4 linked regions of the Schizosaccharomyces pombe genome follow. Changing the gene in region 2 together with the main gene of any one other region gives a genetic interaction. Each region holds a gene or a part of one and is shown on either strand. Other genes may lie near its edges.

Region 1 (3,921 bases), 2.4 Mb from region 2:
CCGAACCGTTCATAAATGACACTATCCACTAAGTCCCATACTAAAATACTTTATGCTTACAGACGAGATAACACCATTAGGGTATCTATTTAATAATTCGAGAACAAAATAAACATGCTGCAAAACAAACATTACTACTCTTGTACGCATGATAAATATATATATATATAATTGGTTGATAAAGTGAAATTTTATTTGAGTAAATGTTCTGCGTCCTTTGCAAGCCAAATTGAGCTAGTTATTTCAAAGGTATTGCAATTTACTCATTGCTCCTTAGTGAGGGCGCAAATGGATGAGCCTATCTATTTACTATTTCTCAGTTAGCAAAAAATACAAAAAATTTCAGTTATATTAGACTTACGATCTGGCTCTCATCTTTCTTCTTTTACGTTTGAGACGACGCACGCGTTTTTTCCTCCATTTATCACGCATCTTGGCAGTGGTAAAAATGTATTGTAGGCCACATGTTAGATATACGAAAATGTGACTGTTTCTTTGGCTCTGGCATATGAGATAGCGTCGTGCTATATGCAATAACATATTATAAAAAGTTCGTTAATTAAGTTTGCTGTCAGCAATACTACACTACGCTATGATACACTACGTTGAGTATCACTATATGTCACATGTTCTAATTATATATCGTACCATGTATGATACGATATGGAGATTGATCTTAATGATAATCTATTAAGATCAATATTATCTGAATACTATAAATAGAGCTACTGCTGAACCTCGTTCCTCAGTTCAGTTATGAGCTATATTAGTGATAGGTAACATTATAACCCAGTTAATACAATACCTATACTCAGTTGCTACTTATACAACCTGTGTATTGTAATATAATAGATCACAAGGAAAACTCACCGCAGTTCTACGTATCCTTAAATTAGATACCAAACTGCGTAGCTTACATTTGCGTAATGTTTAAATTCCCTTTTAAGCTTCTAAATAAATTTGAGATTCCACTGTGGTATGTCGCACTAAAGCTGGAATGATATTGCTTTATAAGTAAATTGATGGAAATACTGTTAAGTAGCTGGCTTTTAGTTCAACTGATAAGTTTCAAATGCTTTAGCAATGAAATTTCAAAATTCTGTGGAATTGATCGCAACTTGGACTTCAATACGTACTTACGTTGAGCACAAGTACGAATTCATTTTAATTCCACAATCTTGAAACGAAGAATAAATTGAATAGCATTTATCCATTATTTGTAATAATGAAAACGTTTTTTTGAAAGAATAAGTTATAAAGCTATTTTATAAACTTAAACTCGTTTCGTAAAGTGTTTTAAAATTATGCGTTGTTAAAACATACGCAGAAATGCAATAATTTATCACTTAACAAAAATAGCTAAAGGTGGGCTTTTAGTTTCGAGTAAAGATTGTTATTTCCTAATGAAGTTCTCTTTAAATTTTCTTCCATTCTTCCCTTAATGTTTTGCAGAGGCGTTGTTCATTTTAATTTTGAAGAAAGAAAGTTACCGTTGAGGTGCGCATGCTTACGGAAGCTAGTGGTAATAGAAATTATTTTATAAGTAAACTGTATTATATGGGCAAAATAATCTTTGGAAAAGTCGTACGCTCAAAAAACTTGCCTAAAGTGTTGTTAAAAACTTACAAATTCAACTAAAAAGATACAGTTTAATTATTAATAGAATGAACAACAAACGTACTATGCCAATACAAAACCAGTGATCTGAGAAAACTAAACAAATAAATTTTGAGGATATCACGATGTAAAGAGTAGCCCTCCTATCCTTCGTAATTTCAAGACATTTTGAGAATAAATAGAAGTAAAAAACCAAATAAGAAATTATAGGGAAAAATTATGCTGCAATGATTATAGGTGCTGTAGAAGCATCGTTATCAACTTCCATGAATTCATCTTCATCATAGATCACCCGGACAATCAAGCTGCAGCTTGGGCAACGAGCAACATCTTCCCCTAATTGAAGATCTTCCTAAATAATGAATTAGTATAAACTTCCAAAATATTAAGAAATTGCGTATCAATACATACCAAAGATATCTCGAAGCGATCCCCACAAGGACAGGGAAAAGTGTACAAGTTCGTACCGGCGTCTTTTAATTAGCAAAAGTATTCAACTTTTAACAAATACATACCAAACGTGAAATCTTCTAACTCGATTTCGTCGTAAAATGACATTTTGCCGCTTCAATGCACTACTGGCAGAAGGTGCGTGGCCACTCCACCAAAAATTTGTTTTATATGTGGGAACCGCCCATAATGAAAACTACAAGCTAAGTTTAACATAAATGGAATCTACTGTAATTTAGAGGAGAACGATACTTACTTGTTACCGTTTTGTTGTATTTTTTAAAACGTCCGCCTATATTCATTTAGAAACTATAAATGCGTTACAAATCTATGTTGAGCAAATTTGATTGTACAGTTTTTATTTTCGCTTTATTACATGAGAGGAATGAGTTATAACATTACTCATGAATGCGACGCTATTAATATTCTATCAGATAATTTACATGAAGGAGCAATATCAGAAGATATGGTTGCCCTCAGTGGTCCAGCCATAGAGTTACTAGAAAATAATGTTGGTAGTTCAAAAAATAGCTATCAAGAAGATGAGGGAAGTTCTTCGATTGATGAGAACGCGCCTCTTATAAGCATAAAACGAAAGAGGAGAATTCGTACGGTTAAATCTACTTCAAATAAAGAATTAGTGCAAAGAAAAGCATCGAAACCTACTAAACAGAAATCTGTTTTCACACCACTTGAGCAGCAATACTTAGAATTGAAGAAAAATTATCAAGAAACTATTTTGGCAATTGAAGTAGGATATAAGTTCCGATTTTTTGGGAAGGATGCAAAAATAGCCTCTGAGGTGTTAGGAATTAGTTGCTATTTTGAGCACAATTTTTTAAATGCTAGTGTTCCCTCGTATCGTATTGACTATCACTTGGAAAGACTCATTAATTTTGGTCTCAAAGTTGCTGTTGTTCGACAAACTGAAACAGCCGCTCTCAAGTCAACTAGCTCTAGCAGAAACACTCTGTTTGACAGACGAGTTGCTCGCGTGCTTACCAAGGGGACTACTCTAGATGATAGCTTTTTTCGCTTTGAGCAAACACAGCATGGTACACTACAAGCTTCCCAATTTATCCTATGTGTTGCAGATAATGTTGATAAGAGCAAAGCAAAATCAGGAAGAGTTCAGGTTGGACTAATTGCCATACAATTATCATCTGGAACTACTGTTTATGATCATTTTCAAGATGATTTTTTGAGAAGCGAATTACAAACAAGACTTTCTCATTTTCAACCTTGTGAATTGATATATTCGAACAAGTTATCTTCCGAATCGGTTGCCCTACTGAATCATTACGTATCAACTGAAAAAACTTGCGGTAGAGTAGTGCGTGTGCAACATGCTGTTCAGCAGGACGTGAAACTAGCATTGGAGAATTTGCAGGACTTCTTTTCTTCTAAATGCATCATGTCCGGTAGCAAAATTATAGAATTACACATGGAAAAGGTGAAGTCTTTACATTCTCTTTCAATCATTTGTTTGGACATGGCCATTTCTTATTTGATGGAATTCTCATTGGAAGATCTATTCGTTGCTTCAAACTTTTATCAACCTTTTGATAGCATTTCTTCTATGGTTTTAAGTAAACAGGCTTTGGAAGGTCTTGAGCTTTTCGTTAATCAAACAGATCATACACCTGTTGGTAGCCTATTTTGGGTGTTAGATCGCACATACACAAGATTTGGACAAAGGATGCTTCAGAGATGGCTTCAAAAGCCTTTGGTTGATAAAGAAAATATAATCGAGCGTCTGGACGCGGTTGAGGAATTAGCCTTTAATTCTAATAGTCAAGTTCAAGCAATTCGTAAAATGCTGTATAGATTGCCCGATCTCGAAAAGGGTCTGTC
Region 2 (8,307 bases):
AAACTACGTACTTCTAGAAGACGTGAAAGATTGAGAAAAGAGATGGTTGGTCGTGTTACGAGCGTTGTTGCAGTTAACGCTGAAACAGCAAAAGCTTTATTCACCCATGAACGTGAGCTTCGCCGTATTGCTCGCAGAGGTGTAGTTCAATTATTCAATGCTGTTCGTACTGCTCAACTTCAAAGCTCTTTAAATAGAGAAAACATCTCTGGTGGTCGTACTGCTCGTGAGCAAAAAGTCAAAGAGCTCTCAAAGGCGAGCTTCCTTGACCTCATAAAATCCCAGTAACGGGAAAACTTTCAAAATAGGGCAATACTATCCCAGATCTAGTTTAACACGGTTTTTTAAGGCTTTCTTTTAATGTTTTTCTTTTAATTCTCCTTTTTTCTTTAACATTTGAGGAGATTCTGTACTTTTACTTTGTTGTCTCTGCGAAACGTTTGCTCTTGTACAACTAGTATAGATTCTTTATAAAAGGTATTTAGTTAGGTTTCGTTGGTTATAATTAAATTACTACTCATCATATTTTGTTTAAAACGTGCCTGAAGATACCTATCAATACGGTTAAAATGATGGGTTCGATGGTATCTAATGGATACTTACTGCTATTTACCTGTTGGTTTTTATTTGTATTTGGACTTATGACTATATTTAACTTTGTTGAGATACCACTTTATGTTGATGGCGATGTAAGTTATGATGCTAAAATCTCAATGGCATCGTCGAATATTTTCTGCCAGGGTCATTGTACCAATATGTTTTAATTTCTCTATCTTGTACAAATTTGGTTCTAATATTTTTAACAGGTTTCACCTATTCGTTCTTATTATCCATGTATATTAATTCTGACTTGTACAGTGGTTTTTTTCGTATGGTTATTCTTTAATTGGCTTGGACTCAAATATTTTCGGCATTCTCCAAGCGCTATGCGCCGATAAATTTTTAAAGTAATGAATAAGCATTTGCTCTCCATTTTTCGAAAACCGTCAATCTGTATTATTAAAGGATTGTGAATCAACTTCAAGACTTTTTTAAGGAGTTCAAGCATAATTAGTAAATTGAGGTGTGAACGGTTATCAGATGATTGAGCCATCAAATTTATCTACGATCATTTTCTAACCTGATTCGTTTGATGTTCCATTCAACAAAATCTGTTATACTACTTTAAGCGTAACCCATTTGCTCTACTCGCATCATCTATATGCTACTAAACCAAACCACTCATTGTCAGCTTAATATTAATATTCAGCATAACACAAGTTTCGTCATATATTTAAAAATTCACCTTACTTTTTCATGTTTTAAGTTTTACTGTAAAATCCCACCATTCTTTGTAGAGACCAACATGATTCTTGGCTGTGGTGGTATTTAAGATTTTACCTTGGTGTACCCTATTGCATTCATTTCCACAACGCACCTCTCGACATTCAAGCAGTAATGCTAATCTCTATCATCATAGAACCCTTTATTTGATAATTTTCATTATTTATGAGTCAAGTTTTATCATCATAATTAGAAGATCGGCTGTACAACTTGACTCGACATATTTTACACTGTTTGCGTCTCTCTTTGTAAAAATTCATCCATTGTATAATTGCATTCAAGTTTATTTTAATATATTATTTCAGATTTTCTCCCTTTTATTTAATATGGCGTTGATAGAGGATTTGAATCACTTTATCAATTATTTTCCTCTAGTATTGAGATTATTCTTCTTGGTCGTATTTGGTCTTTATTCTTTCACATTGATATTACATCTATTAGTGATAAATAGGGTCGACGTGTTCTCATTATTACATACTCCGTTGCCTGTCAATCGATCACAGCAAGCTAATGCTCCTCTATGGCAATTGTCATTCTCCCTATCTATATTAGGTACTCTACTTTTCGTAATAGCCGAATCCTTATATTTGATTTCTGGGTCTGATGAATTGGCATACGTCCCCGTTTTTATTTTTGGTGTTATTGTTTTTATGCCTGTACATAAGTTCTGGTTCTTCCAGAGAAAGGTGTTTACTCGACAGTGTCTAAGGATTTTGGGAGGAAGCTACAGACCTGATTACAAATTTCCCGATGTTATATTTTCTGATTTATTGACTTCTTACTCGAGGGTCATTGCTGATCTCTGGCTAGCTGGAGCAATCTTGATTTACGTAACTGACTCACCTAATAACTCTCATAGAAAACAATATGAAAATGAGGTTATTATGTCAATGATTGCAGCGTATCCATACGCTATCCGATTTCGTCAATGTTTGATTGAAAGAAGCTCTGCGGATAATTCATCAGATAAATTTTGGAGTACATTGAATTCTATCAAGTATTTCACTGCTTTTCCAGCGATATTCCTTGGGATTTTTGCAAAGAAAAGATTTAGCTTTCTATGGTTTTTATGGAATACCTCTTCAGCTATAAATTCAACTTATTCATTTTGGTGGGATGTTTCAATGGATTGGAGTCTTCCCTTTTTTAAGCAACCGTTATCAATCCAAAACTGGAAATTTGGGGTTCGGCGTTTATTCCCAACATTCACATTTGCAGTTGTAAGTGCGATTGATTTTGTTTTGCGAATGGCCTGGGTAGTTCGCGTTTTGCCTGAACATCAATCCGCGTTTTTTACCACCGACTTTGGGATCTTTATAATGCAATTTCTTGAAGTTTTCCGACGTTGTGTTTGGGTTTTTTTTCGGATAGAAGCCGAAGCTTCTAAATCATTGGCCTATGTTAACATAAGTGATCGTAGTGACATCCCGACAATACATCCAGATTAAATGGAAATGATTGAAGTTACTATTGTCACATATGTGTAGGTATTACATCTGCAACCTTTTCAAAAAATTTCTTTCTTTAGGGCGTATCAATTTACCGTTCTATTATTTGCTTGGCATATAATATGTTTTTCATTCTTTTATTGCGCTAATGGTTTAATATTGCAAGTACATTGTCATTTGCGGACTTGCAACACAATGGCACCGTCTCGCTGAATTGGGTTTACTTAAAGTAAGAAAGTTACTTAAAATTTTATTATGGATATATACTTTTATTTGTTACATGGGAATCGTAATGGGTTTGAACAAATTTCACCATCTTTTACTGATTAAGTTGTTGAGTCAAAAGTTTAAAACATGAATTTAATAATAAATAAATAAATCAAGCTCTCTTTTTGCATACTGAATAACAAACTAGATCAGTAGACTTTTTTATTGTAAAAACATAATCAGTAAGTATGAAAAGAACCTCCCAAAGAAAACCCCCCAAATTAATCATGCATTTATAGTGTACTCAAATTCCTTCCAAATTTACCTAGACATGAGCATGCTCTATTTATCTACTATCCAAAGAGTTTCCTAAGTGCTCCCGTACCGTTTCCAAAGGATTTGAAACGAATGAAGGGTGCTTCAATATGGCTTGGAACCTTTCGATTTCCTCAACGGTATTTCGTTTCATAGAACTCTTAGTTTGTTTAGAAGATAAACTATCCTTAATTACGGGCTTCAACCTGGAGTTAGCTACCGAAATATCAAGATCAATTTCTGGAAGTACTTCTCCAATCGAAGACACATTGACTTTCAGGTTTTCTCTGGCTTTACGGTTCCGGCGCTTACGAGCCGAAGCAGATATTTTTGGATTAGAAAATTTTTGCTGCCAGTTGAAATGACGGTCTTTCCGTTTATCTTTCTTTGTTTCTTTCAGCGGATCATTGTTGAGCACTTGACTATTCGAAGTAACGGTGGAAGATAACTCGACATTTGGAATACTAGCTTGTTGGCTAGGTTTACCAGAAGACGGTAAACGACTTGATGCTTTTGACGCTAGACTGACTCTTTTTTTTGCTTTTGGCTGTTGTCGTCAGCCAAACGTTTATCTATGGATGAACATACCATGCTAAAATAAAATTGATTGTGAATCAATCGATAAAAATCGTTTTAAATGTTAAATAGGATATATAACCAAAATAATATTTACGATTGGAGTGAAATATCTTGAATATTCGGTGTGCTTTCTGGTTTAAAAATTCACTACAACTATTGGCATCGGATTTAACGGACTGCCCTTGATTGCGTAAGTTGGTTTCATAATATTAGTATTTGAAATGAAAAACTTAACTTACATTAATTTCCATCTTATGTGCAATGAATTAAGAAACAACATTAATTAACAATTTTTATAAATTAAAGCAGTTTTAAATGAATGTCCAACATGGTTCCTAAAGTATTTGCAAACTAAACCCTATAGCCATTTTCCGAATATAAACATTGAAACTTGAAAAGAAAATACATACAAAAATAATTAGGTTAGAGTAACTGGAAGTTACATAAGAAGCCACACAGCCTAGACTTCCTAATCGATATAAAATACTATGAATTAATTACTGGAGCCAGCCAGGCTTGATGGAGCCTTAATTGAAGAAAAGGGAGATAGGGGAGCATTAGAAAACCTTTGAAGAACTTCCCTGTAAATAGAATTTTCAAAAGATTGTATGTCGATTGTTGAAAACGAGTAGCTTTCTTCATAAGCGTCTATAGAAATGCGATTTAAAAAGTTTCTTAATTGAGCGTCCGTTGTGTAAATGCCTAAAGAAGGGGTTCTTGTAGTTGAAGTAAGAATAGAATGTTCGGATTCAACACTGGATTTGTCGTCCTTCTCCGATGCTTGCTCCTGAAGTCGCTCAGAAACCTTTTGTACGAGGGATTTACGGCTAGTTTTTCCGCTCCAATAGACAGCATCTAGTGGACTAAGCATCACAACCCATTCATGTAGCGCAAATTCTTCAAGTTTGAGTGCAGTTAAAAAATCCAAAAGCCTGCATGCGTCTAATAATGTCTCTTTAGAAATGGCAACATTTGGCATACAGTAAGATTTAAAAATGATCAACAATTCGCTAACAACGATTGGCCATAATGGAAGCAAATGCTTCGAAGAGGTCCTTAAAGCTAGAGCTCTAATAAATAAAAACAGGTCCTTTTTTAATACTCCTTCAGGATCAGACGTTATAAGCCGTTTGACAAGGTCAATCAGAGGTGGAAGACTAGGCAGGAAAAAATCACGTGGAGAAGATAACATTAATATTGTGATCCGACATATGTTGCTCTGCCTTGCACCTAGTTGAGTATCCCGAGATGTAAATAAAGTAGTAACGCCTAAATCAGATTTTGTTATGAGATCATTTAATCTAGATATCTCTTGGTACAAAGCTGTGTATATTACTGGAGAAAGCTTTCTTAATTGATCAATATCGAACCTGAACAGTGAATTATCATTAAAAATTTCCCAAAAATCGCGCCTCCATGATTTACTCAAAAACGGATGTTTACTCAACACGAGCAATAAGTCCAAATGATAAGTGGTGAGTGATTCCGGAAATGTCCTAGCCTTTACTAAAGGAGTTATAAATACATTGACGATTGATGTAGCCCAAGCAACTAGTTTATCTTCTTCCTTAGAAAGCTCGGTTATTTTTGGAACAAACTCAGAACAGAAAAAGTCAAGCAAAGAGGGATCTAAGTATTTTACGAATAAATACACGGAGCTAGTTTTCTTTTGTGTTTTGGCAACCTCAAACGTGTCTGCAGCAGCTTTATGATACGCCAGAAAATCTACAGTTAGGTTTGGATCACTTGATTTTCCTGCATGAAATAAGACTGAGGACAATGTTTTCCCCATCAAATCAATAAAGTCTTTTTGCTGGCGAGATTCGCAATAAGTGTTCACGTTTTTTGCAACTTCCAGTAGCATTCGTAAACATACCAGCAAATAGTTTTTAAAGCTGTTTGAGGAAGAAATAATCTCCCGAACAAATTTTGAAATTTCCGTAAAAATCTTAGATGTGTTTTCGCCCTCCACTCTGGAGACGAAGTCAGACATACAGCATAAAATATCGAGTTGTGTAATCTTTGCTGTCAAACTAGAAGGCCCTGCATAACTAGCTATTCCTTCACGTGCAAAAAAAGAAGAAACTAATTGCTTAACAATGTACTGAGGTTCAGAATCACTAAGAAATGAAAATATATCCCATATACACTGGCAACACTCAACATTGTTCTCCAAATAGATTTGTACCAGCGTTTCTACGCATTCAAGAGGTTCACAGAAGTAAAACTCTTTTAATCCCGATAAGGATGCTTCTTTTAAAACCGATGAATCATTCATAAATACTTTTGACGTTTTATCAGCATATGAAGACCGAATATGCCATGAATATGATAAAAATAATGTTTGCAAAGCATCCTGCATAGTTAAAAGCATAGATAATCTCTTGTTGACATCGATGCTAACGCCTGACGACTCCGCTGCAAACACACCAGAAATGACATTTCCGATGATACCATTGGCTTCTAAATTACTTTTCTTGGGGCCGGGTGAATATGTGAATTCCAATAAGGCTGCTGAAACTAACTCGCTAAGCATTTTCAACTTAGCAATAAAAACATCCATGCACGCATAATCTTTTACTGGGTCAGGGTATTTTAGGTACATAGACTCGTGTTGGTCAAGAAATGAATGAACAAATTTGCACAAAGATTGAATGGGATTAACCATCAAAAGTTGAAGGTTTTGTAAAAGAAGAGGTAAAAGCTTCTTTATAGCATGTAGCCACTTTGGCGAAAGTCCTGGATCATCATTCAACATTCCAACCAAAACAAAATTGGACAACAGATAATGCTGTTCAGAGGAAAGATCTATAGTCCCATCTAATCGAGAGAGTAAAAATTCTAGCATTTGCAAAAGACTCAAAATAAAACTTCGATAAGTTGATGAAGGAGAACGCTCAACTTCCTGTACAAGCGCAAACAACCCAACGATTAGACTAGATTCAAATTTTAGAGGGTTTTCCCATATGGAGGTTATTTGGTAAAGCAATCGCAAAGCCCAGGTTTGAATAATATACACATCTGTGCTCGTTTTTATGTTTTGAGGAGTTAATACTATATCTAAGCACAGTTTGACTAAAAAAGCAAGAAATGAAGAGTAAGTTAAAGATTTTTTTTGAATCAAAAGGGCGTCAGCCCAAGTGACCAGGCATAGTTCCTCTACCTGCTTCGCACTCTTAAGTCTTCCTTCTTTAGGATGAAGATCTTGAAAATAAGAAATTATACGAGTGCAAAGTTTTAGAAAATATACACATCGACTAGCTTCACTATTTCTCTGGTCCTCATTTATATTATATCTGGTCATAGCCGTTTCCAGAGAATTGACACTGGTTAGATTGGGAGATAAACTCAATAAATTTTCAGTCATAAGTTCCAAGACACGTAATTGCAAAGAACTTGATGCATTAATCCAATTCATCATTGCTGTATAATCTCTCCCAGACTCATCTTCTAATAATGAATTTAATAAAAGTAATAGGGGCCTGTCAAAAACGAAATGAAACAGAGATTGTTGAGCTTGAAAGTTAGAAAACAGTAAAAAAAGAAAAGAAAACAAGAAAAACTTACCACTCTTCTTTAAAAGATTATAGAAAGGTGTATAGTATATCGTTGGAGCTCTCAGCTCAAGTTGCTCTTTCACAATGCACGTTGAAAAGTACGATTCAATTATTCTAGTTTGAAGTTTCTCTTGGAGGGTCCAAATAACAGATAAAAGCTCCTCTTCTCTGAAATAAGAAAACATACATAGCTCACACCAAATCTACATAGTCAGTACGTTGGATATCATAAGTACTTACCCTATCCAAAATCACATTGACGCAAGCTGTAGAGTTAATCAAAATCCTTGATGGCAATTGCTTTACAAAACTACCAAGGGTTTGAAAACTCCACGAATTATCTTTAAATCCCTGTAAGGATAGATCAAGAAACTCATTTTCAAATTCGGTGTCTGAAGCTTCCTTGATAAGATTAAGAGATATTAATAAAACTTCATGATGAACATGAGAATCTTTTATGTATTGCTTTAACAGTGACAATAACGAACATTTGCATTTTTTATACAAAATCTCATAAGTTAATATGCCATTTTCAAAGTCCGAGTCTAAGTTTAACGTGCATTTCGCATAACTGTCAATAGCAGAATTATTATAATTAAAAAAATTCCAGTCGAAGTTATTCAATAAAATTTTGCAAATAGTCAAAATAGTCATAGAAACCCCATCAACATCAGAGTTGGGAGACGTTTTTTCAAGATGCATAAGTAAGTTTGTGAAAATTATGAATGAATATTCAGTATTTATAGACTCAAAGAAGAAGTTCTGACTGTCCAGGATAAACTTTACGGCTTCCGCAGAATCGCTATTTTCCGTAGTATTCGCAACTATTTTATTGACACAATGAAACAAAAAAGTGTGTAATTCGGAATCGCTAAACT
Region 3 (9,171 bases), on a different chromosome or scaffold from region 2:
CTTTGTACAGAATAATAGAAGATGATGGTATTGCAAAACCTGGCTATTTATAGTGATCGGTAATAGAGATCTGCAGATTATGGCTTCAACTGACGATTGAATTGAGATGACCGGTGCGAAGTTTGTCCTGGTTATTAACGATCCCTTCAATTTGAAATCCACAATTTCATCCGCTTTTTCTAATAGTAGCAACAGAAAGCTTAAACTAATTTAGTCGCAAGGTATCATCTCCTTTTTAAGAAAAGTTCAAGTAGTGTACTGCAACGTAGACTGCTATGTTGGTATATCAAACTTCTACTAATGTATGTTAATTCAACACTACAACAAATTTTCTGGTGATGAAGGGCTCACCCTCTTCAAACATCTTTTGTCTATAAAATGAGTTCATCGTATGTAATATATTTTTTTGTGAAAGAAACTAACAAAGTAGGAAATCACTGGATTGGGCTGACGATGAGGACTATGGTACTGGATTGCCTTCGATTCAGACGTTTGATAATCCCGATGGCACAAAAACCATGATTGAATTTCGCATTGATGATAATGGCAAAAAGGTGAAGGTTACCAGAGTTATACGGAAAACCGTTATTACGGAGCGGGTGCAACACGCTGTGGCGGAGCGTAAGAAATGGAAAAAATTCGGAAAGGAAGCAGGCAAGAACAGTGGTGTTGATGCTAGAACCACTAGTGTTGGCGAAAATGTTCAGTTAAGACTTCAACTTGGTTGGACTACTACGAAGGAAGAGGAGCAAGATGAGGCTGCTTTGGCTGCCGCTAAGGTTAAGGCAAAGGGTAGCTCTGTGGTTCGTTGTCGTGCTTGTAAGGGTAACCATTTTACCGCTCAATGTCCTTACAAGAGCATTATTGGACCTGTTGATGAGCCTCCCTTGGATGCTAGTCCTGTTTCTTCAAGGGCTAGTGGTGCCTTGGGCGAAAAGGGTCGTTATATAGCTCCTCATCTTCGTGCTGGCTCAGGGCGTGAGAGTGGTGATTCTATGTTCAAACGTGAACGTGATGATAGTGCCACTCTTCGTGTCACTAACTTATCTGATGATACCCGTGAAGAGGAACTTCGTGATTTGTTCCGTCGCTTTGGTGGTATTCAACGTGTATATTTGGCAAAGGATAAGGAAACTGGTCGTGCTAAAGGTTTTGCCTTTGTCAGTTATTACGATAGAGATTGTGCTATCAAGGCTCGTGATCGCTTGGATGGTTACGGTTGGAACAATTTGATTTTACGATGTGAATTCTCCAAGCCTCGAGATTAAGTTTCTTTTAATTATATAAAAATTTCTTGAAATTGGATAAAGGTCTACGTATATAAAAAATTTTCTTTTTTCTTCCATAAATCGTTCCCTTATTTTCACCCATGTATTCAGTCTAATCCCTCGGATTGTCTTAACCACCTTACCCGTTTCTGAGAGCTTTCATATGTTATACTTTTTAATGCTTGACATTGTTCAGGCTCTATTATCCCTAATTGCATTGGGTTTGGTAGAATGCTAAAATTTCCTTTTTTGGGGTTGTATCTGCGTAGTGATCGTCCCATGGTATGTCTCATAAATCTATGCTAAATTGGAAAGGATCCTTACGTTTTGTTCCTCTGCTTTTGCTATTTAAAAGAATAAAATTAGGTTTCATTTACTTATCGTTTGTTTTCTTTTCCTCTTTATACTTTTTATATTTGAAATGGTTGCCTCTGAAAAATTTTTGAAATAACTTTTAGTATTTTGTAGCAATATCATGAATGGTTTAAAGCTGTACACTTGCCTTGATGATTGGTCTTTTGGTACCTTTTTTTTCAGATTGTGAAACAAATTTTTACGCGCGAAATTAGATTGCTGGTGTACTTGACGAGTTAAGAAAAAATAAGGGTTTTTAAACTGACTAATTTTAACTATTTTAGAAAATTTTTTTGTACTCCATTGTTATAACTGCTCCAAAACCATTTGTTATTTTTTCAGCATGTAGTGCTACATGGAGAGTGTAAGGATTCGCAAAATCCATTAATGTTGTAATTTGAAGCAACTTTCTCGTTTGTGTCTTCATTAATTACACCAAGGCTTTCTAGGTTAAGCTGAAAGAAAAGCTAATTTTTTCAACTGACTACTTAAGCAGTTTTGACTTTACCAATTCGACTTTCATTATTACAACTTATGCTGTACATTCTTTTTTTTAATATCTATAATATTAAATATTTATGAGATCAAGCGAAGGCCCCTTAACTCAGTTGGTAGAGTGTGAGATTCCAAATCTCAAAGTCAAGTGTTCAAGTCACTTAGGGGTCATATTTTTTATAAGTTTTTATCCTGTGTTCAAAGGCATAGCAAGTTTTAAGAACACATTTGTCATAAAGATTTAACAATATAACTCTCATATCCGTTGAAATAGCTGGTTCACTTCATACGATAGTATTGACTTTTAATGACCATTAATCTTTGCTAAGACGGCAAAGTAATATATACTACTATTAATTACATGACAAAAAACAAACATACATCGACATATAAGTGCAAAACAAATTTTACTATAAATTTAACCTAAAACGACCAAGGCACCATTATAAGAATAAAATCAACGAAAAGTATGCTTAGTCAACCCGCTTTTTTCTATATGCAATTGAAACAGATGCAAAGCCGATGGGCGGAACCAGAAAATATCAAAACAGAAACAAACAAGAGATCTTAAAATATAAGTTAGCAGCTAATCTCTCGATTTAATGGAAAAGTGTATGTGTTTATTTATACCTGTTTTATTATATAGAGAACCCCAAAACAACGATATTAACATTACTTCCATATTTATGTCAAAGCGAAATAACATAAAATTGACATTTTTTAAGGTTTAGTGTTTACGGCCTTTGCCAATCTTCGTCCAACCCTCTTCTTCTTCTGCTTCGCCAGCGTTTGTGGCAGGAGCATCCTCAGTGGCAGGAGTCTTAGTCGCAGCGACCTCCGAATCAGTTTCGGAACTCTTTTTCTCACCGTCTCCTAAACGGATATCTGATACTTTCTCAGCAATAGCATCTGTTTTATCGGTCTTTTCAGCCTTATCAGCGGAAGGCTTTCTAGAAGTAGAACGCTCACGGTTAGCATTGTCCTCGCGACGGAAGCTCTGAGTACGCTTGGCAAGTTTTTCCTCAACACGTTGAAGCACGGATGTATTGTCTACGGGCTTGGCACCACCGAAAGGATCTCTTTTAGGCTTGGAAGATGTAGTAGTGGTAGCAGAGGGAGTAGCTTCGGTGTTGACGTTGGAGGAGGAACGAGGTTTTAAGTTAAGACGAGGGCGCTCAGAGGATTCACGTGGAGGAAGGGGTCCACGACGAACCCATTCACGTGGCTCTTCACGAACACGATCGGAAGGATCACGAGCAGGATCACGGAAACGACCACTGTTGGTACGTCTCTTGCCAAACGGAGATTCAGCAGGTTCAGCAGGAGGAAGAGGTCCACGACGAACCCAGTCACCAGTAGAGCGTTCTTCACGGGCAAATGAACGACGAGGCTCTGCAACAGTGATGCGGACTGGACGTCCCATCAAATCCTCACCGGATAAGGCTAAAGCGGCGCTCAAGGTATCAGCGGTCTCAAATTCAACATATCCAAAGCCACGAGAGCGTTCAGTGAGAGGGTCAATGACGAGGCGAATGCTAGTGACACCTTCGCCGAAAAAGTCGCCCAAATCGTTTTCTGTTAAGTCAAAACTCAAGTTTCCAACATGAGCTGTAAAAGGGGGTTCAGAAGGGATGGGAATGGCATCACGTTGGTAACCACTTCCCATTCCACCCTCGCGACGGCTTTCGGGAGGACTTCTAACTGACTCAAACGTGGAAGAAGGAGCATTGTATCCGGCGTCAGCAGAGCTAGGAGTAGCACGATACGTAGATGTGGTGCGGTCTTGGGCTAATAGATAAATTGAGTTAGCTAAGCAATTTCAAAAGATTAAATAGAAAAATGATGGAGCCCAAAAATGAGAGCCGAAAATTAATAGAAATTTTCGGATTCCTAAAAAACACCCCACTCCAATTCAATCCAAAATTTTCCATTATAAAAAACAAAATACTTACGCAAAGCTGGCAAATCATCAATATCATCAGCCCAGTTAGTCGAACCAAACGACTCGTCACCCAAAAAGGCGTTCAAACTCATTTTCGTACTCTGATATCGTTCAGCAAACATGCCTAATTACCTAAACAAACCTTTTTCGGACCTATTATTAATAACTCATGATCAAAAACACAACTTGCCCATTATGAAATATTTTCTTTTAGATCTTCACTTTTTACTAACAAGATCGTTTTCTTCGTCGTTCTCGACAGATTTAATATTTGCGATTCTTGGCGCGCTGGTCCACAAGAGCGTAGCCCAGTGATGCCGTGACTGCTCAATAGTAGAACGACTGAAGCATTCCCGCCTGCTGTATTTGCTAAGGCGAGAAAAAGGGAGAATTGGGAGACGTCTCTATTCCTCACAGTCATGGATAATGAGGATTAAATCATTTCGGTAAATCAAGCATGGAGGAATTTTTGTGAATGTGAGCATTATAATCGCATAACGATAAGTAGCGTGTTGAGCAAAGAGGATTGGATGGAAGTAGTTTTTTTATTGTAAATAAATCAATGGAAAATTGGATATGGAACCATTGTAGCGTTTGCAATTTGATGGAAAGTCTTTTTTTTGGGATTATATACTTGTGATAGGAGAAAATGATTTTCCTTTTTTTTTTTTGAAAGAAGTCCGTATTTGATGTCAGCTTTCACAAATCTAATAATTCCTATAAAATAATAGTTTAAAAAAAAGTTCTTGAAGTTCAATCAGAAAACAGAGATTTGATTTTGCGATAAACCAAAAGCAAAGATTAAAATTGGCTTTACGATTTGTTCAACCATGGTTTGACATTGAAGTAAATCGCTATTGAAAAAACGTATCATTGATAAATGATAAATGATTTATTATTGAGCTCGATCAACAAAAAACGAGAACGTTATAGTCTCAAGGGATGAATGATGATCAGTTTTGTACACCATTGAATTTGTTTTTGAGAGTAATAAACTTAAACTTCTCAGCGAACTGGACTGTTTGGACAGTGTTTAGACTTCATTTTTTGCAGATTCCTTTTCTAATATGGAATTATAACAAAACAAAAACACATTGGCTTAATTATAGGGGAAAGGAAAAGGAAAAGGACGCGTGCTTGCACAGAAATGAATCGATGTTTTGGATACAAACGTAAACAAGACAATAAGGTGGTGAAGCAAAATTGCAAGGAATTTTTCTAATCTAAATACGGCGATTTTGAAATTCATTTCTATTCAGCTTATCATCCTTTTTTCATTCACTGACACAGTATTATCTTTTAACGTTGTATGACGAGATGCATTAGTCTATGCTTAACAAGTTGTGTAATATGAGAGACAAGACAAGAAGAATTGGGAATTCCAGAATATGTGCAATTGATAATATCTACACGATTTTTAAAAGATATATCAAGTTACGAAAGTTGATCCATTGTTGGTACATTTTAAGTTCCCGCATTAGAGTTAAAGGGCCGCCGCTTCTGCCAATGTTTATCATCAAAGGCTGGTTGGGATAGTAAGAGAAAATGAGGATGATACAGTTTTCAATTGATATTCGGATGTTTATTATTTTATTATTATTTTTTTAGACAATTGTCTTTGATCTATATTCAATGTGAGCTGAGAGCTGAGTGGAGAACGAAAAATTTCTGAAACAATAAAAAATCCATTAAAATATATTAAAATCATAATAATGTTAGAAAAAAAAAATCGAAAAAATTAATCAAAGGGTTTCATTGACTTGGAGCAAAGATAAAGGAAGAATTTGAAAAGAAAGTAAAATCTAATAAAAGAAACGTGTGAATTTGAAATTAAAATGGAATGGTCTTTCTTTTTTTCTTGGTGGGACGCAGTCATTTATTTAATTACCGACCAGCCCTTTTTAACAATTAGATAACAAAGAAAACCGATTTATTTCATTTTATATTTTTTATGTCACTTGTTTTTTTGTTCAAATTCACTCTTCTTATGATTTCTTTCTTCTCAAGGATTCTTTATGTTCATTTTCTTTTATTTACAAAGAAGCATCCGCATAAAGAGGTATTGTTTACAACAAACAAATGGTTGCCATCCAGGTTGCGAACCAATCTAAAAATTTCATTCAATTCCTTTATGCCATTTCTAAATTCAATTATATATTTTAAAAAGGAATTTATAATTTAAAAGATTCTATAAAAATCGTGGCTTTGAAGGATTTCCCAACATGCTGGTTTCATTAGCCCTACACCCCCAAAATGTCATATTGACGAAGATCGAATCCTTTATTTCTAATTTTTTTTCTAACCGCAGATAATGATGAAAAAAAGAAGAAAGTAACATTTATAATAGTCTTCTTTTAGTTATAATCAGATTTTCTGCTTCGATTTTATTAATTAATGGAAGTAAATTCAAAAAAATGGATTTATCTTACTATCGAGGGATTGTTCCCTAAAATGCGTTTCCCGCTACTGGCCAGTCGTTGTTACCTTCTTACTACGACTATGGGATTCTGAGTATATATAATTATGACATGAATTAAACAACGGAAATTTAACCATTTACACTGCTATTGCTTTTTTTACTTAAATTGTGTGTTTATAACAGGAATTGAAACACAAATTTTGTTCTCTTGGTGCAGTCTGCGTTTTAAATTTCTTTAGCGGCAAAAGCAAACAGTAGAGAGAGATTTTAATTCCAATTCAATTTGAGCAACAGCCACGCCTTTTCTGCTCAAAATTATTTTTTTGTTAAAAATTTTCTTTTTCTTTTTCTTTTTTATCCTTTATCTATTGATTTTCATCTTTGGTTTTACGAGTGGTATTTGCTGGTTCAAATTTTAAGTGCATATACCGATTGATTGATTGATTTGTTGATTATAGCTTCACTCCATTCTTCGTTGCATCCTTTTTAAGTTTCTTTTTTATTTCACAAAAAGTCTATGCCGAAGTTCTGCTCGTGTTTGGTATTTCATCTACAGCGTTTGTGTATAGCATTTCCCAAGCATTCGACTTTCTGCGAATAATTTCAAAATTTAATTATCTCCATTTTTTTTCCTATCCACCTTTAATCTCCCTTTTTACTCGAATTTCTTTTCTATCTTGCTCAATAAAAAAATATTCCCTCATCATTGATATTATTCGATTGCCCAATCTACTTTGCGTTTTTATATCCCTCCTATTTCGTTCTTCCCTATTCTTTAATTTCCTAATTCCGCTTTGTTTGCATTTTCAAGACCTCCCTATTTGAATTAATTTGGGTATTGTTTGGAAACTTTCATATAAAATAATACCTTAAAAAGAAGTTGCATTGGAGATGCGCGTTTTGGTTGCTGAGACCGGAAGAGAAGATAATGTGTCAGTACATTCTAGAGAAGTGTCTGTGAACGGCAGTGATTCTGGTACAGGCAATGATGCCTACAAACTAGAAACAGACGATGAACATCCGCCTGCCACCCCTGTACGTGGATTATCCACAAGATCTCAAAAAAGACCCTTCAGACCTTTAACAATTCAACAAGATGAAGATGTAGAAAACGACACTGGTATGAACACCGAATATAATGATGACAATTCTAGCTTAGTTAACACACCCCGAGACTCTACTACGTATGCCGAGACGAATTCACCAAACACGGAAAAATTGGCCGGAAGAGATGATGATCGATCTCTACTGAACTTGATTGATCGTGGTGAGATCGATAGTAAAAGACAGAGACATTACGTTCCCGTCCATTGTAAACGAATGCCCAAAAAGGAGATCACACTTAATCAAAAACTTTACGTTTCTCAAGTTATAGGTCCGGCTGATGCTCCAAAGTCAAAAACTATTTTTGGCAAGCGAATTATGCAATGGGAGCCTTCTCAATTTAAAGAATCTGTGTGGGCCTCCGAAATTAGCAAAAGTGGAAAATATCTGGCCACCGCTGGTAAAGATGCAATAATTCGTGTGTGGAAAGTAATTGAAACACCAGAAAGAAGAGAAACTTTACTCAAAGAAGGTCCTCAAAGTTGTGGTCGTTTCTTTACCCCTTCTAGCATTTTTGAACCTGAACCTGTCCTAGAATGTGTAGGTCACAACGCAGAAGTCCTTTCCATTTCATGGAGCAAAAATGATTTTTTATTAACTAGCTCTGCGGATAGAACCGTTAGGCTTTGGCATCCAAAATCAACCAAATCCTTGGCGGTTTTCAGGCACAATGAGATTGTTACATGTGTCGCATTTCACCCGATCGACGATCGTTATTTTGTTTCTGGTTCCCTTGATTGCAAAATTCAGTTATGGTCCATTTTACGCCATAAAATATTGCATTGGACGGAACTTGAATATGTCGTTTCTACTATTTGTTTTTATCCAGACGGTGAGTCGATCGTTGTGGGCATGTTCTACGGATTATGTGCAATATATGAAACTAAAAATTTACAATATGTGTCCTCATGGCTAATTCATCATTCTCCCTCAAGAAATAAAAAATGCCGAGTCACTGGATTACAGTGCGCATCTATCATTCCAAACGATTCAAAATCCGACAACGTTGTTTTAGTATCTACTAATGACAATGCTATCCGGTTATACAACACGGTCACTCACGCTTTAGTGTTGAAACTGAGTGATGCTCATCGTGTTAATGGCAGAGTACTTTCTCGTTTAAGTGAAGACAACAGTTATATCATTAGTGGAAGTGATACTAATGAAGTAGTTTTATGGCATATTCCCAACAAGGTACTCATCAATGCATCAAGAAAACGCTCTGTCATTCTCCATTTGCCCACGGAAACATTCAAGGTTTGTAGTGAGAGACTGACTTCGACCATCATTGCACCAGCAAGGACTGCTGTCGAAGCTAAAGAGTCGGAACATGATCGCAGTTTAATTGCAGAAGGATACAATCTAGTAAAACCTCATAGTCACAGATCATATGGAACACCTCCTGTACATCCGATTGATATAATAATTGCTACCAACATGGCAGGTATGACTATTGTCTTGTGTGTTGATTATGATTTGGGGAATTCCCATCATGGATTTAGAAACTCAAAATTTGGACACTTTGTGAAGCGTTTATTACGAACCTAATCTCGATTCAAAACTAATATTACTTTACCTTTTTTTATTTT
Region 4 (8,241 bases), 1.3 Mb from region 2:
ACTTTGACCATTGCAGTGTCAAAGATTGGCAAGAACGCTTCTGGATTCTTGTACTTAGATGATGGTGTAACTTTTAATTATAAGAAGGGAGAATATCTGATTAGGCACTTCTCATATGAAAATGGAATCTTAACGATGAAGGACAGTCATTCTAATCCTCCCGTTTCTCCTAAGTATTCTAGCTCTCAAAAGCATTTGAAGGTGGAGCGGATTAATATTTATGGAGAGCAGACGCGTAAAAGCATCAAAATACGTAAGATAATCGATTCCGAAGTTACTGAGTGGGATGTCTCAGTTGATGACAGTGGATGCATAAGAAATCCACAACTTTTTTTGGTTTAATTTATTCCAATATTTAACGTTTATGGAGAAATTGTCATTTTCAGGTGCTTTGTAACGATACTTAAATCAAATCTGAATTACAATAGTGACTATATTACAAACACTTTAAATTTCTAAACGTTCAATTGATAAAGCTTAAAAAATATAATTAAAAGTTTTCTTCGATCTTATTGCGACTAACAATACCATGAAACCCATTAAGCAATTTTCTGAAGGAGTTAACGTAATATAAATAAACGAAAGCGTCGGTGAAATGAAGCAGTTAAAAAGAAATTCATCCCTACAAAGAAATTGTCCAGAACAAATGAAAGTATGCATGTAAGACAAAACATAGCAAGGCGCAGTAAGTTAGTTTATTAAGAACTTCTTAAAACAACCCTATAAATAAAATGTTTCAGGCCCATGTAGTACTACGGACGGGGGATTTAACGTTTTCAGCTTTACGGGAAGGGCTGAAATTTGGACGATAACGAGGAGGGGTAAGATGTTTGCCGGAAGTCGAACCTCCTTCCGGAAGACCCATTAATTTTCGCTGTAAAGGGGTTAGTTGTAAATCGTCGAAAGTAGGTTGTGGACGAACAAACTGCCAAACTGATTCCAACAGGTTAAACAATAAAAGTGCCTGGAGTATCCAAGAAACAACCTTTACGGCAGTGGTATTCGGTAAGTACCTATTCAAGAATTGAATACTAATAAAAGCAAATAAATTGGATACCATTCTGCTCCACGTCCGGTCTGAAGGTGCTTGATCATGAAGTCTCTTAGCTATTTTGTCTACAGCGGGGTGCTTCCAGTATCCACGTGGGATATGAGATTCATTTATGTTGTCTGTCCCAGGAGCAGGAATCGATGGCAGCTTCATTGAATTAATTACGGGTTTTTTATCTTCTTCTTTACTAGGGATGATATTTGGTTGCTGTTCTTGAGGTTTATGAAGGGAAGAAGCTTTCGGGTCTGTAGGTAAAACTTTAGGAAGTGTAATAGGAAAATTGGCTTCAGTATTCTTTGATGAATCGACCTTGTTCTCAGCGGAATCTTCATATAGAGAACGCGCAAAAACCGATTGTGAAAATGTACTCGCCATTATATTCTTTTTTTGAACAATTTAAAAGATAGGTTAGAAATTATTTTAGCAAATGTAGGTGTAAACGCGAGACTTAAGAAAATTCGAAGTGGAAGAAGTAACTGGTAAAATGTTAGTTGGAAACAAACGGACGCGTAGAAGACACCATATTATTTTCGACAAAATAAGCTTATTTATTAGCGAAAATTTGGCCAATCAAATTTGTACCTGAAGATACGCTAAATATGGGCTTCTAAATCATTTTGGCGAAAATTCTTATGTACATGTATATATGCCATTGAGGCGATTTATACTAACATACCTTGACTACAGCATAAGCAGCAGCACCATCAAGGAGAGTTTTGCTAACTTTTTCGAGAGGCAAGTTATATCCTAATTTGGCAAAGATGGAAGCTGCGACGTGAGAACCTTTTTGAAGATATTCGCCTGGTAGCCCAGTGGGCGTCCAATCGAGTGAATGAAATATAAAAAAGAAAATTGGTAAAGGTAGTATAGCACTTAGCTCATGTAAAAAAAGAAATGCAAATATATGAGAAAAAGGCTTATCCTTAAATTGATGTGCTTGCTTGCCAGTAATTTTTAGGAGGCGTTTCCATAGTTTGGTGTCAGACCGAATGGTATGATTCGAGGATTGTACCTTTTCCTGTAAGATAAACGGCGAATAATGAAATTTACGCTTATTCAATAAGATAAATGAGCCTTTTAGAGCTTGCAAGGGACTTCTAGATGGTATATGTAAGGTTTTAGCCAGACCTGAAATTCTAATAGTTGGTGGTAACATATTGGAGCTAATGAAGAATACTACAGTGCTTACAGTGTATAAATGTTAAGCTGGTACCTTGCGATTTTTTTTGAAATCTTGATTAAATAAAACTGAATGGATGCTGCTTAATTTATGCTAGCTAGTTTTACTACTACTGTACATGAAAACAATTAGAATCTTCCAAAAACCTCGACTTAAAATCACGAATATTTTTTACTGAAATCGCTAACTCTGCTGTAATTTGATTACTACATTATAAAAAAGGGATTCTTTCTCCAATATGTATTAAGGGGCGAGCAGTTATCATTGTTACACAGTTTTCCTTAAACAATAGGTTCGTATACTATTATTTTTAACAAGTGAAATTAGATAAGGTAATTAATTATTTTACTCCTAAAAAATGTTAAATCTAACTCAGAAGAAATAAAACTTCGATACCTTGTTACTAAATCAAGAGAGGGGTGATAGGTTAAGTCATAAAAGTTCATAGAAGTTGCTTTTTCGAGGCTGTAGGGCTATCCGAAAAGCTTGACTGTAGTTGAAATTCTTTCATAAGGTCCAATGTTTTCGTCAACTTTTTCATAATTAAAGAAATATGCTCTTTCTTTTCAGCTGCAGTTTTCTGCTGTACATAAAAACTAGAGCGCCCAAAAACGTTACGACAAAGCTGTCTTTCAAATTTCCGACCTTCTTCCAACAATTCCTTCCAATACTCTTTCTTCCAAGATCTATAGCTGGACTGTAAATAGTAGAGGCCGAAAACGCCACAAACAGAAAATACGCTAAAGGCGTTGTACAAAGAAAAATGAGAGACAAAATATAAATAAAGAGATCCAAGAGCCCCCAGTCCCTGAAAAGCAGTTGTGTATAGTGTCTTTCGACGTAAAGGTTGTAAGGCTTGATCTACAGCACTCATACGGGAGTTTTGAAATGTCCCAAAATCTTTCATGGCGAGTTCAAAATTATTTTTATCGTCACCGTTTTTCGACAACTCACCTAAAATAAATGACAATTCGAGCTTTGATTTTTGTAAGTACTCATCCTTTATTAATTGTTTTAGACTTGCAGGTAACGACTCAATGTTGGAATATAATTTCAATGTACCAAAATTTTTCCAAAACTTTTGAAGTTTCTTTTCAAACTCTTGAAGATCGACATCACAGTACTTGGCCCATTTTTCTATCGATATCAGCATAGAATTGCTAAATTCGGTTGCGCGAACGAGATCTTTCTCGGCTTTTGTTAGAGAAAAGGAGCAGCAAAGATAATTTAGAAAACGTTTGCATATTTCTAAATCACTTGTTGGCGTCATGTTGGTGCGTAGTTGTTGAAATCCACTTTGCTCCCATTGATTTTGGTAATTTTGAAAGTTGTGGGGATCATCCTGCAGAGCTTTGGTGGCTTTTAATGCAGCCGATGATGAGACGGGTATTATAGATTTTTCATTTTTTAAAAGAGAATGCAACTTTGGGTCAATATCGAGCACCAACGTGTCTGCAGTAGTAAAGTCACTGGAGGTCATTCTTAAATAAGAAGTAGAACATATATATCGAGCATGGCAACTAGCCAAAATATCAGAGTCCACTGTTCCCGGAGGAAGGTGAATAATTTCAAGATTATTGACTTGTAGGAAGTCGCTTGGAAGAAATAAATGTGACGTACTATACCTAGCATTTCGCTCAAACAAAGCATTTGTGCCAAACGAGATATAAAGTGGGTTTAGTCCATTGTGATCCATGGCATATTTCAATTCTTTTGACTCAGGCATAAAGGGAGCAGCGAGAAGAGCATGTGTGATTTGTTTGACACACGCGACATCTTCGGCAGAAGAGCTTAACGCCTGTAGCGCAATCCTCCTCCTAATATTCGATTTGGAAAGCAAAAGGGAGACATTTCCTACACGAATTGTTGCAGGAGAATTGTCATCGACTAATCTTCTCAAAGAATAAAGCTCATTGAGCAGCTTTTTTTGCAAATTGGAGATGATCTGCACATGTGGAGCGGTCGACGACCTGCGTATCGCCAACACAGAGCGCTTCCATGTTTTTATTCCAAATCTTAGCATAATTTCTCTGAGCCTATGAAAAACTAATCACAACAAAGGATCGCATATGAACCACACTAGATTCGAAAGCCAAAAAGGAACGAGATTACCGGATTTTAGATAGTATTAGTTAAAGTTCCAAATACACAATAAAACATTTACTAATAAGTTAATAATTCTTAAAACAAATACTATAGTGAATAATTGTTGTCTGATGGCACCCGAAGGTTGTATAGTAGTTGTGTCTATTGAGTAGTGTCGTAGATGTTATATCAAAATACCTTAACCCAGCAGTATAATATTCTTGGAAAATCATTGGATATTGTTAACCCTTAAATCTGTATATGTTTATTTATTTGTTCAGTCAAACAATCATAAAAACAAAAAAACAAAGAATTTTGCATTTTGTTAATTTAGACGAATTCATTGTTCATAAACAGTGACAAAATCCGAGGTTTATACAAGTATTTGAAGAAAACGGTATTCGACAGAATGAAGCTTTAAGTCTAAAATGGATTAGAAGGAACTGAAATGAGCTACATAAATTGCTCTTAATATTGGAGAACTGCTAACATTTATAACCTTTTTAATGATTACACTAAATCTTCACCTATTGCTTTTCACTTACTTTAATGGTCATTCGATTCAAACTTATTTTATCTAAATCTATTACCTTTTGCCAGTAAAATACTGTATAGTTAGTTAGCAAAGAATATAGGCGAGTAAAGCTCTAAACTATCATACTTCTAAAATCAAAGAAAACCAAAGAAAAAAGCAGATGAAAGAATTTAGTAACATCTGGATTTTGAGTAATAAACTGATTGACCTAACTTATTGACAGGTTGTGCGATATCAGTTGGTTTGCCAAAAACAACAATAATTGAAAATTTATGAATGGATTCACCAGAATATTAGCCTAATTGCTTTTTGATTCATTTAAGGAAATTCAACTTTTAATTTGAAATCAGCGAAAGCCGAAAAAAGGATGGTATGAATTTGAAATATTTTTTAATGCGAGCAGGTAATATTGACTTTAATAATAAAATAAAATAAAATGTCATTATAAATGCGATTTGAGGATTTAGTAGAGATATGGATAAAACAGATATGAACCAAACTGCATGAATATTAGGAAATCAAGTTGTAAATATAAAACAAGCATTTTTAAAAAAAAACAAAAAATATTACTCTAAAAATGTTAAGAGGTCAATTTAAGGTTTGTTTACTCTCATTTGTTATGGTGGTAATAGTTTCAGTCATGCATCATCGAAATGTAAACAAACAGCGATCCTATATATACCAAAAACAACAACCATTCCTTTCCATCACACATCTTTTTTGAGATAAAATGAACAATTCAAAACTCTCTGTCCCCGGACAGTATGAAGATGAAAGCAGTACTATATATGTAGGAAATATAGATTCCCGACTTTCTGATGAAGAAATCATCAAACACTTTTCAAAATATGGTATGAACACACAAGTCAAGGATAAAAACACGAGGAAAAACATTAGAAAACATAAATAAAAGCGATATATTAATCAATTCTTTAGGACAAGTAGAATCCATCTTTCGTCGATTACTTGATAGTTTTTATCCTAAGGAAAAAGCGAAACCTTTTAAACCTCCTAAAAATGGAGTGCAATATGGGTTCGTCAAATTCGTTAATGCTGAAAGCATTGAAGAAGTTCTAAAGGACGCTAAAGGAATGACTCTGGGCCAAAGAAAATTGTAAGTGACTGAAGGGAAAAATTAGAGACAAGCATTACAGAAAAAAAAATCGAAAAATCATTCTCCAAAAAATTACTAACCTAAAAAAAAGGACCATTAAAGCAAGAGTCGTAAATCCTGCGAAACTGACAGACAAAAAATTCAAACCTAACGATACGTCAATCACTGCGAACGTGTTCAATCCTAGCATCCAAAACAATACAGATGAGGAAAACGTTAAGCCAGGACTCAAACAGTCTCAGATTAAGGAATTTATTCCAAATGTCGAAGAAAGAAATTGGGAAACTGTGAGAGGCATAAATTCGCGTAACCCGAAGCCAGAAACAACGCTTACCATACCGTCTCTTGGTTTGGAAGATATTAGCATGCAAGTTGTACCAAATGCCTTCGCTTCTACGTTACCCCTTAGTATCTTGAACCTACCTGCCGAAGTCACACCGATTGACTTATATAACCACTTTAAACAGGCTGGTGTAGTAAAAGGGACGGCGGTCAGCCAGTTTCTTGACCAAAGAGGGTTCCGGTATGGCGAAGTGATTATGGATTCAGTTGAATCATGTCAAAATGTAAGCTCAATATGAAGAGAAAACCCCAATATTTGCATAATCTATTTCATGATACTAACCTCATTATTAAGGCAATAGAAAAATTAAATAACGTTCCATACAAAGGAAGCATTTTAGAGGTCAGTATAAAAAATAAAGCCTCTTCTTCAGTGAAGTCAATTCCCACAACGCCGACTGGTGAAAGCTTATGGCCTTTCCCATCGGAAAACGCTAACAAAACTCAAATAAATATCGAAAATGCTACATGTTCGAAGATGACATGGATTATGGGCTCACCAACTAAGGAGAAAAGCCAATGGGGTAGCGTTTCAACTACCGGTGTTTCAAATCAGCAAAATCATCCAGCCGCTTGGAACCCAGATAATAAACCTCAGTCAATCGTGCATTGGGACTCTTTACGTGAAAGCTCTCCAAGTATCCCTAATTCTCCTATTGACCCTTCAAATCTATACGTTAAAAATTTAGATGATACCGTCATCACATGCAAGAGTCAGCTGGAAGATTTATTCTCACCCTTCGGGTCGATTTTGTCTTCCATGTTAGCATGCTATCCAAATTCAGGAATCTCCAAAGGTTATGGTTTCGTAGCGTTTCGTCAAATAGAGGCTGCCGTTAGAGCCAAAGACACATTGAATGGAATGATGGTTGGGAAAAAAAGGATTTTCGTTTGCTTCGCGGAGCGAAAGTCTGACAGAATTCGTAGATTGCAAGCATTTTTTGCAAACAAACCTACTTCAGAACAAACAGCGCAGCAAGACAACAAAGCTTTGTTCGTCAAACCAGAAAGAAGCTCTACTGTTACCATCCGAAAGCCAATAGAGTCTTCTACAAACAAAATCTCTGAGAATCCCACGACCCTTTCAAGTAAGGTTGAAAATAAGAATGAGCCTAAGACTGGTGAAAACAAAGAACCCAGTCAGACAAATGAATATGTTAACTGTAAGCAAGAAAATAAGGAACTTAGTGGACAGTTATCAGGCAACTTGGATATAAAGAAAGAAGCAGGAAAATTGAGCCATGACGGAGAACAAGGAAACTTGTTAAAACCATTGGTATTCCATGCTAACACAAAACTAAATAACCGAGGGTCTGCTAAGATGGGTTCAACAGCCACCAACTTGAAGAAGATACAAGACATGCTTCACAACAAAAAGCTGAGTAATGCATACTTTGTGCCAAGAGCAAGAGCAACAACCTGTACAACTCTTACGTACGTAACAGTTGAGCCCTCACATTTCCAAGATGAGGACTGTAATGAGTCAACGAACATGCTTTCACTTGTCGGGTACATGGACAGCTATCCAGAAGCTACATCCAATATCCAAAAAATGAATTCCTATCATATTAAAGATTCAAATAAGGAAAATTTTTTATCAACAACAAAGGTTAACAACAATTCACCAACAACTATTCAGTTGACGCAGATTTAACAAGATGCGGTGAAGATATAACTATGAAACAAAATTCATAATGCTATATCCCTCAAAACTCCGATGAACAAACTTTTAACTCCTTAAAATATATACATCGTGAACGGATGGATTTGCTAGTATAACCCTACAGTATCTTACAACTACCACAACGTGGAATTTAAACGAAACCGTTTATTTTTAGTCTTTAATCAAAAACATTATAAGGAAATTTGATTTGAAAGATAATTCTTTATTAATTCGAAAGTTGACAGCTGGATCAGATTTGTTTAGAGATTTA

Evidence for each region.
Region 1: mutations in slx9 (region 2) and dph3 together harm fitness more than expected from each alone (negative genetic interaction), as found in Schizosaccharomyces pombe (one large-scale study listed by BioGRID).
Region 3: mutations in slx9 (region 2) and sce3 together harm fitness more than expected from each alone (negative genetic interaction), as found in Schizosaccharomyces pombe (one large-scale study listed by BioGRID).
Region 4: mutations in slx9 (region 2) and pom34 together harm fitness more than expected from each alone (negative genetic interaction), as found in Schizosaccharomyces pombe (one large-scale study listed by BioGRID).

Annotation. Positions count from the first base shown.
Region 1 is NC_003424.3:2,853,488-2,857,408, forward strand, and holds dph3 (diphthamide biosynthesis protein Dph3), read right to left. Parts: upstream 2,208-3,921; 5' UTR 2,176-2,207; coding exon 2,133-2,175; intron 2,091-2,132; coding exon 2,029-2,090; intron 1,970-2,028; coding exon 1,835-1,969; 3' UTR 1,682-1,834; intron 1,604-1,681; 3' UTR 918-1,603; downstream 1-917. Other genes in the region: rpl4102 (60S ribosomal protein eL41), read right to left, coding at 303-309, 362-432; msh3 (DNA mismatch repair protein), read left to right, coding at 2,444-3,921.
Region 2 is NC_003424.3:493,748-502,054, reverse strand, and holds slx9 (ribosome biogenesis protein), read right to left. Parts: upstream 3,999-8,307; 5' UTR 3,885-3,998; coding exon 3,882-3,884; exon of another isoform or gene 3,841-3,881; coding exon 3,325-3,840; 3' UTR 3,028-3,324; downstream 1-3,027. Other genes in the region: rRNA processing protein Rrp15, read left to right, coding at 1-288; SPOM_SPAC227.19C (uncharacterized protein), read left to right, coding at 570-689, 807-938; erd1 (EXS domain-containing protein), read left to right, coding at 1,650-2,771; dop1 (family protein DOPEY), read right to left, coding at 4,366-7,388, 7,440-7,632, 7,670-8,307.
Region 3 is NC_003423.3:1,772,645-1,781,815, forward strand, and holds sce3 (translation initiation factor), read right to left. Parts: upstream 4,326-9,171; 5' UTR 4,254-4,325; coding exon 4,250-4,253; exon of another isoform or gene 4,213-4,249; coding exon 4,202-4,212; exon of another isoform or gene 4,161-4,201; coding exon 4,070-4,160; exon of another isoform or gene 3,906-4,069; coding exon 2,845-3,905; 3' UTR 2,525-2,844; downstream 1-2,524. Other genes in the region: tif307 (translation initiation factor eIF3g), read left to right, coding at 379-389, 431-1,268; SPOM_SPBC18H10.05 (WD repeat-containing protein), read left to right, coding at 7,370-9,130.
Region 4 is NC_003424.3:1,792,313-1,800,553, reverse strand, and holds pom34 (nucleoporin Pom34), read right to left. Parts: upstream 1,541-8,241; 5' UTR 1,427-1,540; coding exon 737-1,426; 3' UTR 501-736; downstream 1-500. Other genes in the region: glucosidase II alpha subunit Gls2, read left to right, coding at 1-342; mrx11 (uncharacterized protein), read right to left, coding at 1,719-2,207; protein Mmc1, read right to left, coding at 2,674-4,254; poly(A)-binding protein Crp79, read left to right, coding at 5,582-5,702, 5,788-5,965, 6,057-6,531, 6,603-7,961. UniProt on the Schizosaccharomyces pombe protein: Has a role in meiosis.